Linked DNA regions of Oryctolagus cuniculus. The protein of the gene in region 1 binds, or shares a complex with, the protein of each later gene. Links are inferred from orthologs where the notes say so. Each region holds a gene or a part of one and is shown on either strand. Other genes may lie near its edges.

Region 1 (7,395 bases):
AAAGATTTTATTTATTGGGGCCAGTGCTGTGGCGTAGTGGGTAAGGCTGCTGTCTGCAGTGCCAGTATCCCTTATGGGTGCCGGTTCGCGTCCCAGCTGGTCCACTTCTGATCCAGCTCCCTGCTGTGGCCTAGGAAAGCAGTTTTTGCTGCAAATCAGCACAGCTCCAGCTGTTTCAGCCAAGTAGGGAGTGAACCAGTGGGTGGAAACCACCCCTCCGCCTCTCTTTCTCTCTGTGTGTAACTCTTTCAAATAAACAAATAAATCTTAAAAAAAAAAAAAGAGAGAGAGAGAGAGATCTAGCATCTACTGGTTCACTCTTCATATGGCCACAATGACAGGGGCTAGGCCAGGCAGAAGCCAGGAACCAGGACTTGTTCTGGTTCTCCCTGTGGGTGGCAGGGGTCCAGGCACTTGGGCCATCTCCACTGCCTTCCCAGGCACATTAGCAGGGTGGTGGACTGGAAGTGGAGCGGCTGAGAGTTGAACTGGGGCCCGCATTCGATGTCAGCACTCCGGGTGGCGGCTTAACCTGCAGTGTCCCCGGAACACACTTCTTGAGAGTCTGCAAAGCACTGACTGTTATTCCACAGGGTCCTATGGTTTTGCAGTTTTAAAATTATTTTTAAATTTTAATTAATTATTTTGAAGGCAGAGTGACAGAGAGATAGCGAGAGCTTCCATCTGCGGGTTCACTGTTCAAATGCCTGCATCAGACAGGACTGGTCGAGGCTCAAGCAAGGAGCCTGGAACTCCATCTGGGTCTCCCATGTGGTTGGCAGGGGCCGCACTTGGGCCACCACCCTGTTGCCCTTCCAGGTGCATTAGCAAGGAGCTGGATCAGAGGCAGAGCAGCCAGGGCTCAAACGGGCACTCATGAGACGCCAGCCAGGCCAGCAGCTTAACCGGCTGCATCACAGCTCCCACCCTGCTCTGGGGTTTCAGACCGTGGGAAAGGCTACCTTTCTCCTTATTTCTTGTGTTCTAAAACACCTCAGCAAGACAGCCAAGCTGGAGGAGGGCTGGGCAAGTCTCCAGGGAAGAGACAACCGGGGGGGGGGGGTTCTGCTCCTGGGAGACCCAGTTTGCCCTCACCCCGGGGTGCTCTTAGTTCGGGGAGAATCTGTCCACCCGGAGGAGGCACCTGAGCGGAACCAGGTCCTTGCTGGGGTCTTCACTCCTGCCTGTCCCACCGGTACACGGACCGGCCTCCCTCCACTCCCGGCTTCCAGGCCACGGCTCTGCCAAGTCTCTTCTCTCCACCCCGCATCCATCACCAACTGCTGCCCCACTCCCAGCCCTTCTCACAGAAGCAGTCCTTGAGAGCAGTCTCCACTCACGTCTCTTCTTCCTCCCCTCCCGGCCCCACCACTCCGCTGCCGCAGCCTGGAGCTTCACCAAGGACCCCCAGCGGCTCAACCCTCCCGAGATCAGCCCCCCTTTCAGACCGGAACAACTGGGCGGCCCTTTCATCTCACACCCTTCCTCTCGCCTCCGGGACACCTCCGTCTCCTGATTCGTCCCCTGCCGCACCTGCCGCTGGGCGAGCTCTTCACACTTCCGGGAGCTCTCAAAGTTGGGGGGGCCCGGGGGTTAGTGCTGGGACCTCTTCTCTTTTCTGTCTACGCTCATTTACTCGCATGGAAAGATGCGGATATTCGCTCACTTGGTGGGGTGGGAGTAGGGGAGTACCTGTCAAAGGTGAGGGCGTCATCTATACTATACTTGGGGGGTAATATGTGCCCCGCTCTAGGGAGGAATTAAACCCACGGCGATGACCCGCCTACTCTACGCGGCATTTATGCAAACAGGCTGAGAGGGGCGCGGATCTAGTAAACGGAGGTGATTTACCCGGATAAGACCTTCCGAATTCTGGAAGTCATTCTTGCGGGGGTAGAGAGCGCTCCCTCCCGGTCTGGAGGGGGACGTGTGTATGCGGTGGATCCGGTAGTATCCACCCGAGCAATACGTTCCGCGGCAGTGAAGGAGAGGCAGGGGCCAGCTCGCATAGCGGCGAGGTCGGCCTCAGTGTTCCATAGCCCGCTCTCCCACACAAACACCAAATGGGTGAACGTGACCGGGGCGGTACGCACCTGGGTTAAGTTCTTACCTTGCAGGAAAGAAGCAGAGCCATCCGGCCTGGACAGCAGGTTCTGTTCGCAAGCAAAGTGCCGGAGGCTGCAGCCAGGGCCCCGAGAGCGACACTCTGTCCCAGTGTCAGCGTGGGCATTGGCGCCAGCAGCCACCACCCCCTCCATAGTCCCAGAGCCCACGTGCAGGCCGGACCGTCGCTTCCGCCCAGCAGAGTGCGCTTGCGCGCAAGTTGCGTACCCAGTGCGCATGCGTGGGTCCGCTGGCTAACTGGGCGCGCGCACGTGGGTTAGGGTTTACAAACAAATATGACTCCGTCCGCTCCCCGCCTCCCCACTAAGGCAAAGCCATTGGACAATAGAGGAAAGGGGGCGGGCTTTGGCACGGGCTCGTCCTACCCAAGGCCCCCGGGCCTTAAACCTCGGGCGTCCTGATAAGGTTGCCCTCTTCTTTGCCTGTTTACATGATCAACTACAACGGGGCTATCTGAGTAATTTTGGAAAAAATAATTCACCTTCCTCACACATTTACGCGTACTGGCGTAAGTGGGACTGGAAGCAGGTGTTCTATGTCACAGTGGTGCTGGCAATTGAATCAGGCTCATGAAAGGGCAGCCCCCGGTCTAGGTTAAAGGAGGGGGCGGGTCGCCGAGTGGGTTGTAAGTCAAGATGGCGTTAGCGATTTCCGCGGCGAGGGTCTGGGGGCCTAGGCGCCAGGCTGTGCCCCTGTTGCTGCGGCAGCTTGGGGCGCGGGGGCTGACTAGATCCGTGAGTACTTGGGGCCCCTGGAAGTTTTCCCTAAGGAGTAATAGGGCCGTAAAGACCCTCTTCGGAGCGTCACCTGCAGGGTATGCAGCAAGGGCTGGCAATCAAGGAAGCGAAAAAGGATTGGGAGAGCGCGCGGAGGGGCCTCGCGAGGGAGGAGCTTCCACTGAGGAGGGGAAAGGCGAGGTCGCCCCTCTGCGGGCTCTGAGGGAGGCGTAAGGGTAGGTCTTCTCGCTCGGCGGGGCGCGGGGACGGCGAGACCGTGTCCCTCAGGGGCTGGAGAACGGACTGACGTGGCCAGGGGAGAGTTTCTTGTGGATGGACGTTCTCGTCCAAGCCGAGAAAGGAGGAATGCGGTCCAGTCGCGGGCTTGTATGGGGTCTTCATTTCTTTGCTCCTTCGCCTCAGTTCTCGGTTTAAGACGAGTCGTGGGAGGAAGCCATGGACTCCTGCGTGCCCTGAGGGGACGTCGGCAGGCAGGGACTTGACTGTGCTTGGGACGCTACCGAGGAGGGCAGCCATAAGTATTTGTTGAATTTACGAGGGAGGAGAGGACCGGCCGGGGCATCTGCCCACATTTCTCGAAAATCCTTGAGGAATTTTTATTTCTTGTCCAAAGGGTCCGAGGGCCTTCTGGTAGAAGCCGCTTGGGGTAAAGTCGCCCCGCGGACCCTCTGGTGGGGAGAGGGGCTGACGTGGACCAGGGAAGGGCCTGAGCTACAGCCCGGGGGGCTCACAGCCCTGCCGTGCCCCTCGGTGAACCCTTAGGGGGTGGTTGTGAAAACACGCGAGGTGTGAGAACCAGCCCTGCAACAGGAGTGTCGGGGCGCGACCTTGGCGAGGGGAGCGGAAAGGAGGTGGCTTGAACTGTGGGGTTGGGTCTGAGCCCCAGTGTGTGAGGCAGGGAGGGGAAACCGTAGGGGGAATCTCTGATAGAAAGGAGGGAAGAAGGGTGTGAATGCTTGGAAGAGAATCACCTGAAGCAGGTAGAGGCCGAGGAGGCGCAGGTGCAGGGGGCGGGGCAGCCTTCTGCCTTGGGGCTGTTCTCTTGTAGTGTTTTTTTTTTTTTTTTTTTTTTTAAAGCAGTCAGAGCCTCTACCGTTGACCTCATTCCCGAGAGCCCACTGGCTGGGCAAGTCGGGTGGGAGGTGGGCAGACTGGGGCAGGCCAGGGGAAGGTCGTTTGTGTCTGATTAAACCTGTTTCTGTTGGCTCAGTCTCCTTGTTGCCTGCCTGCCTTCATTTTTTTTTGGGGGGGGGACGGATACTCATACTTTTATTTATATATGTTTACTTAGTTAAGTTTCTAAAGATGTATTTATTTGAAAGTCCGGTAGAGAGAGAAAGATAAGATCTTCCTTCTGCTGGTTCACATCGCAGATGGCTGCAATGGTTGGGGCTGGGGCTGGGCCTGGCTGAAGCCAGGAACCAGGAGCTTCCTCCAGGTCTCCCCTGCGGGTGCAGGCCCAAGCACTTGGGCCACCCTCCACTGCTTTCCCAGGCGCAGTAGCAGGGAGCCGGATCTGAGGTGCTGCAGCTGGGAAAGTGAGATGCTGGTGTCACAGGTTGCGGCTTTACCTGCTATACCACAATGCTGGCCCTGTTTATGTATATCTTGATTTATATTTTCTTTTTTTTTTTTTTTAAAGGATCTATTTATTTATTAGGCAGAGGCAGAAAGAGAGAGGTCTTTCATCCGCTTGTTCACTCCCCAAATGGCCAAAACAGCTGGAGCTGCACCAATTCGAAGGCAGGAGCCAGGAACTTCCAGGTCTCCCAAGCACTTGGGCCATCCTCCACTGCTTTCCCAGGCCATAGCAGAGAGCTGGATGGGAAGTGGAGCAGCCGGGACTCAAAGTGGCGCCCATATGGGATGCCGGCGTTGCAGGCAGTGGCTTTACCTGCTACGCCACAGCGCTGGCCCCAATTTATATTTTCTTAGAGTCACTGTCTCCCACCTGTATTTTTGCCACCTAAGATTTTAAAAAGAGGCTCCACTTTTTTAGTGTAGAGAAGGGACATAGCATTTCTTTTTTACAAGATTTTATTTATTTATTTTGAATATATATTTATTTATTTGGAAGTCAGAGTTACACAGAGAGAAGGAGAGGCAGAGAGAGAGAGAGATCTTCCATCCGCTGTCTCATCCCCACTTGTCCTGAACGGCCGGAGTTGCGCCAATCCGAAGCCAGGAACCCGGAGCTTCCTCCAGGTCTCCCATGAGGTGCAGGGGCCCAAGGACTTGGACCATCCTCTACTGCTTTCCCAGGCCATAGCAGAGAGCTGGATCGGAAGTGGAGAAGCCGGGACTTGAACTGGTGCCCATATGGGATGCTGGCACTGTAGAGGGCGGTTTTACCTGCTACACCACAGCGTCAGCCCCAAGATTTTATTTGAGAGAGAGAGCTATAGACCAAGAGAGGGAGAGACAGAGAGGTCTTTCATCTGCTGGTTCACTCCCCAGATGACTGCAATGGCCGGAGCTGGGCCAGTCCAAAGCCAGGAGCTTTTTCCAAGTCCCCACCCCACCCTGGATGCAGGGGCCCAAGCAGTTGGGCATCTTCCACTGCTTTCCCAGGCCATTAACGGGGAGCTGGATTGGAAGAGGACAGCCAGGACAGGAACCGGGGCTTATATGTGACGCCAGTGCTGCAGGCAGAGGCTACTATGCCACAGCACCAGCCTGGAGCCATAGCTTTAGTTAAAGAAGATTCTAGGCCAGGGTTGTCCAGTAGAACTAACTAACTTCCTTATTTAAAAAAAAAAATATTTGTTTTATTGATTTGAAAGGCAGAGTTATATATAGAGGGAGAGACAGAGAGATATATTCCATCTGCTGGTTCACTCCCTACATGGCCACAGGGTCATGAACTGGGCTGATTCAAAGCCAGGAACCAGAAGCTTCTTCTGGGTCTCCCACGTGGGTGCAGAGGCCCAAATATTTAGGCCATCTTCTGCTGCTTTCCCAGGGATTAGCAGGGAGCTGCATCAGAAGCAGAGCAGCTGGGACTCGAACCCATGCCCACGTGGGATGCAAGCACTGTGTGTGGTGACTTAACCTGCTACCCCACTGCACCGGCCCTTCTTCTTTAAAGAGATTTATTTGAAAGGTAGAGTTAGAGAGATCTTCCATCTGCTGGATCTCTCCCCAAATGGCTGTAATGGGCAGGGCTGGGCCAGGCTGAAGCCAGGAGCCTGGAGCTCCATCTGGGTTTCCCACATGGTGGCAGGGCCCAAGCACTTGGGCCATTCTCCACTTGTTTCCCAGGCGCATTAGCAGGAAGCTGTATCAGAAGTGGAGTAGCTGGGTCCGGCACTGTGGCGCAGTGGGTTAAAGCCCAGCCCTGAAGTGTGGGCACCTGTTCGAGACCTGGCTGCTCCACTTCCTGTCCAGCTCTCTGCTAAGGCCTGGGAAGGCAGTAGAAGATGGCCCAAGTCCTTGGGTCCCTGCACTCACATGGGAGACCCAGAAGAAGCTCCCGGCTCCAGATTGGCACAGCTCCAGCCATTGCAGCTATCTGGGGAGTGAACCATCAGATGGAAGACCTCTCCCTCTCCCTCTCCCCCTCCCCTCCCCCTCCCCTTCCCCTCCCCTCCCCCTCTCTGCCTTTCCTCTCTCTGTGTAACTCTGACTTTCAAATAAATAAATAATAAATCTTAAAAAAAAAAAAGTGGCTGGCGCTGCGGCTCACTAGGCTAATCCTCCACCTGCGGCGCCGGCACCCCGGGTTCTAGTCCCAGTTGGGGTGCCAGATTCTGTCCCGGTTGCTCCTCTTCCAGGCCAGCTCTCTGCTGTGGCCCGGGAGTGCAGTGGAGAATGGCCCAAGTGCTTGTGCCCTGCACCCCATGGGAGACCAGAAGAAGCACCTGGCTCCTGGCTTCAGATGGGCACAGCGCACCGGCCATAGCAGCCATTTGGGGGGTGAACCAATGGAAGGAAGACCTTTCTCTCTGTCTCTCCTCTTACTGTCTAACTCTGCCTGTCAAAAAAATAAATAGATAAAAAAAGACCTCTCTCTCTGTGTAACTCTTTCAAATAAATAAATCTTCGAAAAAATAATTTAAAAAAGTGGAGCAGCTTGGACTCGAAGCAGTGCTCATATGGGATGTCACTGTTGCAGGCTATAGCCCAGCTCACTACACCACAGTGCTGGCCCCAAGAACTTTTGGCAGTAGTTGAAATGTGGTACTGCACACTTTAAATGTAGCTGGTGTTGGGCCGATGCTATAGCGTTTGTAGTAAGCTAAGCCTCTGCGGCTTTAGCATTCCATATGGGCACCAGCCAGTTTGTGTCCTGGCTACCCCTCTTCCAATCCAGCTCTCTGCTGATGGCCTAGGAAAGCAGTAGAGGATGGCCCCAATACCTGGGCCCCTGCACCTGTGTGGGAGACCCAGAAGAGGCTTCTGGCTTCAGATTGGCCCAGCTCTGGCTGTTGCGGCCATTTGGGAAGTGAACCAGAGGACGGAAGACCTCTTTCTCTGTCTCTGCCTCTCTCTGTGACTCTCTCTCTCAAATAAATAAAATCTTTAAAAAAAAAAA
Region 2 (7,412 bases), on another chromosome or scaffold:
CCTGGCCTTTTGCAGCCATTTGGGGAGTGAATCCGTAGACTGAAGATCTCTCTCTCCCTCTCTCCCTCTCCCTTTTTCTCTCTCCCTCTCTCCCCTAACTCTGCCTTTCAAATAATTAAGTCTTTTCTTTAAAAAAAAAGTTGTAGAAAATGGAAAAGATAAATTCATTTTTTAAAAAAAGGAACAAACGTAATGTGATATTCTACTAAGATGCTAGTAATCACACAATTAGAGAATAGGGATTAAGAAGGTTTGTCCTCTACTTCTAAAGTATCAGACCAAAGTTTCTTTGCTTTGAAGATAATTAAGAGTTCATCTTGTTAGTGAGGGGGAAAAATTGCTGTTCACCTTTATGGTAGCTAATGTTCCATGCAACTAAGACACCTTCTCCTTCAGTTACTCCTACATACATCTTAGCACACTGTTCAGAAGAGAAGCTCTAGAATATGGTAGGTTTCAAAGCCAGAGCTACCATTAACATATCAGTGGAACCTTGGACAAACTAGCTTAAGATAAAGTAATAACAATATGGGAAGAAAACTCTTACCTATGATTTAAGATTGTCCTAAAGCTCAAAGATACACTTCCAAAAACATCAGCTGTAGCATGTGAGAAGCTATTGGACAAAGAAATGACAGACGTTGGCCGGCGCCGTGGCTCACTAGGCTAATCCTCCGCCTAGCGGCGCTGGCACACCGGGTTCTAGTCCCGGTCGGGGCGCCGGATTCTGTCCCAATTGCCCCTCTTCCAGGCCAGCTCTCTGCTGTGGCCAGGGAGTGCAGTGGAGGATGGCCCAGGTGCTTGGGCCCTGCACCCCATGGGAGACCAGGAAAAGCACCTGGCTCCTGGCTCCTGCCATCGGATCAGCGCGGTGCGCCGGCCGCAGCACGCCGGCAGCGGCGGCCATTGGAGGGTGAACCAACGGCAAAGGAAGACCTTTCTCTCTGTCTCTCTCTCTCACTGTCCACTCTGCCTGTCAAAAAAAACAAAAAAAAAAGAAAAAGAAAAAAAAAGAAATGACAGACGTTTCTTACTCTTTACTGGTGTGGTAATGACAAACACTGGGTCCTTGGAGGAGCAGATAAAAGTCACATAAGAAATGGTACACAATGCCATCTCACTGGTCCAAGTGATCAATTTCTGTTCACAATTGATCATAATGATAGGATTAAGAGTCAAAGGGATCACACAAACAAGACTAGTGTCTGCTAATACTAACTGATAGAATCAAAAAGGGAGAGAATGATCCAACCTGGGAAGCGGGATACACAGCAGACTCATAGAATGGCAGATGTCCTAAACAGCACTCTGGCCTCAGAATCAGCCCTTAAGGCATTTGGATCTGGCTGAAGAGCCCATGAGAGTATTTTAGGCATGGAAAGCCAAGACACTCTGGCAAAAAAAAAAAAAGAGGACCTAAATGACAGATCCCTGTGAGTGAGATCCCAGTAGAAAGAACGGGCCATCAAAGAAGGAAGTACTTTTTTTTTAAGGGAGGAGAGAACTTCCACTTTGACTATGACCCTGTTGGAATAAGATCGAAGTCAGCGGCGAACTCAAAAGGCTTCCATATCCTTAGCAACTCATGACTAGAGCCTAGGGAGATTACTGACACCATAAACAAGAGTGTCAAATTGTTAAGTCAACAACAGGAGTCACTGTGTACTTACTCCTCATGTAGGATCTCTGTCCTTAATGTGTTGTTCAATGTGAATTAATGCTATAACTAGTACTGAAACAGTATTTTTTCTATTGAAACAGCGGAATGCAGTGGTTTGTCACAGGGAAGAGAAGCAGAGAGTGTGCCCTGCGAAGGTCAGAGCCAGCTGCCCCACCCTCCAGACAAGCAGAGAACAGACTCAAGGCTGGGAAGAGGTACAATCAGAATTGGGGTGGCGATGGCAGGCAAATTTCCAGTCATGTACAGTTTTCAACATTATCGTGATTACAGAGTAAGATAGCACTCATTCTGAAAATTACAGGTCACAAAAGGGAGTGCTCAGCCCTCCCCCACCCACATTCATAAAAATACACTTGTCGCTCTCCCGTGTTGGGAGGAGATGCACACCAACCCACCCGACATCAGGAAAGGGGCTCTTGTGACACATTCTGGTTTCAGATTCTGGAAAAAGAGCAAGAACACAGTAACAGAGGTGGTTCATTCATTATGCCAACTCATGAGCTGCTGAAATTCATTCTAAACACCCTCCGTAGCAGTGGCTTCCAGGAAATCCACACAGAAATGTTGCAAGGGGTCCCCCAGCCCCTCCGGAGGCAGTGCAGGGTCCAGACGTCAGTGTCCACGACACACACATACACACACGCCTTCGTCCCTGGTGAGGCCCCCGGTAGTCACCTGGCTGGGAGGGGGAGGAGGAGGTGAGGGGTCCAGGTAGGGCTCCTTGGAACGGGGTACGGGTGAGACAAGCTAAGGGGACAGAGTGACAGGTGTACCTGTCGGGACAGCTAGAGCGTTATCTTAAACACGTGAAGAAAATCGCCAAAGAGTGAAACCTCATTATGGGGAGTGGGGGGGGGGGGGGTTAAGTTTGGGAAATTAAAACAATCCAGTGGTCACTGGATATCTCCCTCTTTTTATCAAAAAAAAATTTTTTTGTAGTTTTTTGGAAAGTATTTTTAAGGAAACTTTTTTTTTCCTTTGGAAAAAGACATCTTTTTCCCCCCTAACCTAAGCAAGTGGAGTTGCCACTACTAATTCATCTCTATTGCCTGCTAAGAGGTAGATAAAACAAAGTGAAACGGGGCTTCTAAAAGGAGGTTCATCAGCGGGTGGGGAGGGGCCGGCTTCGCCTGGTGACGCTCCCCCACCACCAAGATGTCTGCGTGCGGTGGAGACCCGGACCTTGAACCACCTCCCACGCCCCCGAGTCAGCCGTCCCACTGAAGACTGTGGGGGGACCATGGGGGAGGTGGGGGACCCCAAAGACACGGCTGAAAAGGGTCTGAGCTCTGCCCCCCTAGCTTCCTGATGTTAGGGCCGAGTAATGGGCGCCAGGCTCAGACCCCAGCCCGCGCAACCCCTCTGGAAGCCGGGGCGGCTATGCCTTTCCTCCCATCTGGTCCAACACAGCTGTAGCAGTGAGAGCTGATGGGGCGGAACATGGGCAAGGAAGGTCGGGGGTGGGGGCCGGAAGAATCAGCCCCCCGGGGACCCAACCTGTCTGAGTGGGGGTCCTGGCAGGCCTGTCTGTCCCCCGAGGACAAACCTTTCGTGGCACAAGCTTCAAATTCACTTTCGGCTGGGATCCATACCCTGATGCACGAGTCCCTGCCCTCAGCTTCCAATCTGAAACAGTATTTTACACTTTATGCTCTGTATGGATGCAAAATGATGAAATCGTTACTTAATTTATACTAAATCGATCTTCTGTATATAAAGAGAATCGAAAATGAATCTTGATGTGAATAGAATGGGAGAGGGAGCGGGAGATGGGAGAGGTGCAGGTGGGAGGGAAGTTATGGGGGGGGGGGCATTGTAATCCATAAACTGTACTTTGGAAATTTATATTTACTAAATAAAAGTTTAAAAAAAAAGAAATGGTACAAGGCACGCAACATCTTTCCTGTAGCTTCCTATTCCTTCATCCATTACCCCTCCTTGGCTAAGTGGTGGCACAACCCAGAAAAAGGTCAGGACTGGCCTCAAACAGGAAGCCTGGATTCATTCCTATCTGTAGGAAGAACCTGTTATGTGACCTTGGTAAAATTAATACAGCTATTTTATCCCTCAGTTTCTTCTTAGGATCCAAAGGCAGGGTCGGGTGGGGGGAATCTTTCTTTCATATGCCGCTGCTTAAAGTTAGTGGCCCAGTTCCAGGCAAGCTGGAACAACACATAAGGCCTGGGTTACGAAAACACTGATGGAGGGTGAAGGAAGAGAGGCGTTCCCTGGGCACCACCTCTCCACCCTCAGGCCCTTCCAGAGCGCGGTATGGCCTCTCACCCATCTCAGGGGTGCAAGGGACTGCGTCTCAAGGGCTGAACAGCCACAAAATCAGAGCCAGGAGGGAATCTCAGCCCGACCCCGAGGCAGAAAGGTTCCAGAGAGTTATGCAAGGATTAAGCCCGGTGCAAGATCAGCCTGCAGGCCCTCGCCCGCGGGCCCGACAGGCTGGGCTGCAGCGGAACCGGACAGGGTAGCCCCAGGCTCACCGTACTCCCGGGTCTCCGGGTCAGGCTGGAAAGTGAAGTGAGCCACCTGCCGAGTCTGGGCCGCATCCTCGCCAGCCGAGGCAGGTTGCAAGAAGCTCCGGGCCAGCCCCGTGCCACGCAACCGTCGCCAGTACCCCTCAGCCCCGGCTGCACGGAGCCGCAACAGCCGGCCCGCAGTCACCGACACAGCCGCCATCCCTGCTCCGTGCCTGGGTTAGCAGGCAATGCAGCCGCACGCCGGGAGCGGGGAGGGCGGAGCGACAAGGAAGCTTCCGCATTGGTTGAGGAGGAGGGGCGGGCCTGTGAAACGGACCAATCAGGGTTAGAAATTCGGGGGCGGGGACGAAGACCCGGCAACGAAGCCGCCTGTGTGCGTTGTGCGCATGCGGAAGACGTACCTGGGGGAGTGCAGGGAAGCGTGTGAGCGCCAATGAAATTGCTCCTGAGGGGGACCTTCCCAAAGTCAGCTGTGTGGACTTGGGGAGAGGACGTGGGTCTGCGGGGTCCCACGCTATGTCTGGATTAATTCTTCTACAGTGTCATTTACACTGCCATTTATAATGGGTTTTTCGTTTCGGTTTGTACTTTAAAAATGAAACCTTTTTCTTTCCTCTCCTATTCTTTGACTCAAAGTGAAGATTGGAAAGTGTTCATGATCAGCCTTGAGCTTCAGAAAACTGCTGGTTCACACCTTCCCTGAAGTACTTAATAAATGTGTATGGATTTGTATTGGTTTGATTTCTCTGGCTATAGATAAAAGAGGTAAACTTAGATTTCATCCTGTAAATCCAGTTAGGAATTTAGACGCATTTTTGCCTAGACGCTGCAAAAATTACCCGGGGTACCTTAGAAACCTGAGAGTTTGAGTATTAATTTACATTTACAATAATGAACTTTGTAAATTTCCTTTTTCCAAATCCAAGTGTTAGAAAGATTATAAATTGCAGTCAAATCCATTATGACAAACACAAATGTAGAAGTATGTCCGTTAGACGAAGGTGGAAGGGCAGCGAAAGACAGTCCCAGAATGGAATTTGAAGAGAGGGGAAGCGAATGTTCCTTCTCTGTTATTTCTGACATCTCAATCCCTCTGGTTTTACATGGAGGCAAGGGAGGAGAGAAAATAAATGAGGTTAGAGGGAAAGCAGAGAGGTACCAGTTGCCTGTTTTCTGACTGGGATTGAGAAACAGCAAAGAGGAGAATCAAAATTATGTCTCTATTAGTCATACTGCCACACTAAGCACAACATGTCAGTATTCAGGGGATTTTTAATCTTAGTTCTAGTTAGTGTTCACTTCCACTGTTTTAATGGTGTGTGTCTGTGTGTGTATGTGTGTATGTCTGGTGGTTCTCATTTTTACATGTGTAAAGGATATTTTTATTTTAAGACAGAAGAAACATGACAAATGAAATTGCCCTTATATAGTGAAATTTAATTTAAAAATAAAAATTTAATTTAAATATAGAAGACAAAGAGTGAATCAAGTTTTCTTTTCTCTGTTTGCTAATAGTCTAGGGAGCTGGGGTGCTGACATGACTTGGAACTAGGAGAAAAGGGAAAAGTAATAAAAAGATGATTGTATTGCCCCTCTGTTATATTGCCAATCCAGTCAGACAGATGTGATCAAGAGAAAGAAGGCAGATTAGATGATAACCACAAGCAAGTGTAATAGGGGCCCTAGAACCGTGCAAGCAACATGAAACACCCAGTAAGAACTAAACTCTGTTTTTGGAAAGTAACACCAAATGGGGCCTAAAAAGGTGAGTAGAAGTTACCAGGCAGACTAAGGAGAAAAAAGTACTCCAGACAAAGAAAAAAAATATGGACAAAAGCTCATAGTCATGAAAAGAATACCATGCATTCTAGGAGAAGAAAATCATTTGGTACAGAGAGAGACAGAAGGGTTAGCAGAAAAACTAGAAAGTATAAAGAGAGAGGTTCTGAAGGCCTTTCACACTGGCCTAAGAAGTCTGGGCTTCCAGCTATCTGCAGTCATGAACAAGAAACAGAGCACCTAACAGATTTGTCTGCCCAATAAGCAACTGTTTTTGGAAATTTCCTTATCTCCACCAAACCATCTCTCCGGTAACCATGGAAATGTCTATGTAATGTCTCCCTCTCCTTCCATTTATGGTCATGTTTCATTGATCTTAAATTGGAGTGAGGTGGACATTATGGGAAATGGTGGCTTGATCAGAATAGCCCTGACTGTTAATGAACAACTTAATACATTATCCCTCTTAGTAGTTTTTTTATCTGTTCTACTTAATATGACTGGTTTAGTTCGGTAATTGATGCACAGTTATTCTTAAGTGTTGAAAATTAACTGAAATGTGATCCCTGTTGAACGTGGGAGTGGGAATGGGAGAGGGAAGAGATGTATAATTTGGGACATGCTCAGGCTGACTTGCCCCAAGTGGTGGAGTTGGAAGCATACCAGGGGATTCCAATTCAATCCCATCGAGGTGGCATGTACCAATGCCATCTCACTGTTCCAGGTGATCAATTTCAGTTCACAGTTGGTCATGGTGGAGGGACTGGGAGTCAAAGGGAGCACATAGACAAGTCTAGTAACCGATGGAGTAAATAAAGGGGAGAGTGATCCAATATGGGAAGTGAGATACTCAGCAGACTCATAGAATGGCAGATGTCCTAAATAGCACTCTGGCCTCAGAATCAGCACTAAAGGCATTCGGATCTGGCTGAAAAGCCCATGAGAGTATTTCAGGCATGGAAAGCCAAGACACTCTGGCAAAAGATCTCTGTGAGTGAGATCCCAGTGGAAAGAACAGGTCATCAAAGAAGGAGGTACCTTCCTCTGAAGGGAGGAGAGAACCTCCACTTTGACTATGACCTTGTCTAAACAAGATAAGAGTCGGAGAACTCAGAGGGCTTCCATAGCCTTGGAAACTCATGACTGGAGCATAGGGAGATTACTGATGCCATAGACAGGAGTGTCAATTGGTAAAGTCAACAACAGGAGTCACTGTGCACTTACTTCTCATGTAGGATCTGTGTCCTTAATGTGCTGTACATTGAGATTTAATGCTATAACGAGTACTCAAACAATATATTTCACTTTGTGTTTCTATGTGGGTGCGAACTGTTGAAATCCTTACTTAATGCATACTAAACTGATCCTCTGTAAAAAAAAAAAAAAAAAAAAAAAAAAAAAAAAAAAAAGAAATTATCAATTCCCAACTTGACTCTCACTGGGATTAAACATGACAATAGGTC

Evidence for each region.
Region 2: the proteins of BCKDHA (region 1) and BCKDHB are in contact, whole or in part, in a crystal structure (PDB 1V16), measured with the Homo sapiens proteins. The link is inferred for Oryctolagus cuniculus from reciprocal best matches to the Homo sapiens genes BCKDHA and BCKDHB. Residues at the interface, in NP_000700.1 of Homo sapiens: Phe155, Leu185, Gly186, Lys187, Arg189, Gln190, Gly196, Cys197, Lys198, Phe202, Val203, Thr204, Ser206, Pro208, Thr211, Pro214, Gln215, Val217, Gly218, Ala219, Tyr221, Ala222, Arg225, Gly244, Asp245, Ala248, Asn251, Phe252, Thr255, Leu256; in NP_000047.1 of Homo sapiens: Pro89, Thr90, Val92, Asp117, Arg118, Phe120, Asn121, Thr122, Pro123, Cys125, Gln127, Gly128, Ile129, Gly131, Phe132, Ile134, Gly135, Ile136, Val138, Thr139, Asp158, Gln159, Asn162, Glu163, Ala165, Tyr167, Arg168, Tyr169, Arg170, Ser171.

The regions. Positions count from the first base shown.
Region 1 is NC_091449.1:13,103,029-13,110,423, reverse strand, and holds the start of BCKDHA (2-oxoisovalerate dehydrogenase subunit alpha, mitochondrial), read left to right. Parts: upstream 1-2,706; 5' UTR 2,707-2,759; coding exon 2,760-2,858; intron 2,859-3,053; exon of another isoform or gene 3,054-3,076; intron 3,077-7,395. Other genes in the region: EXOSC5 (exosome complex component RRP46), read right to left, coding at 2,111-2,342. UniProt on the Homo sapiens protein: Together with BCKDHB forms the heterotetrameric E1 subunit of the mitochondrial branched-chain alpha-ketoacid dehydrogenase (BCKD) complex.
Region 2 is NC_091436.1:92,364,402-92,371,813, forward strand, and holds the start of BCKDHB (2-oxoisovalerate dehydrogenase subunit beta, mitochondrial), read right to left. Parts: upstream 4,463-7,412; 5' UTR 4,370-4,462; coding exon 4,174-4,369; intron 1-4,173. UniProt on the Homo sapiens protein: Together with BCKDHA forms the heterotetrameric E1 subunit of the mitochondrial branched-chain alpha-ketoacid dehydrogenase (BCKD) complex.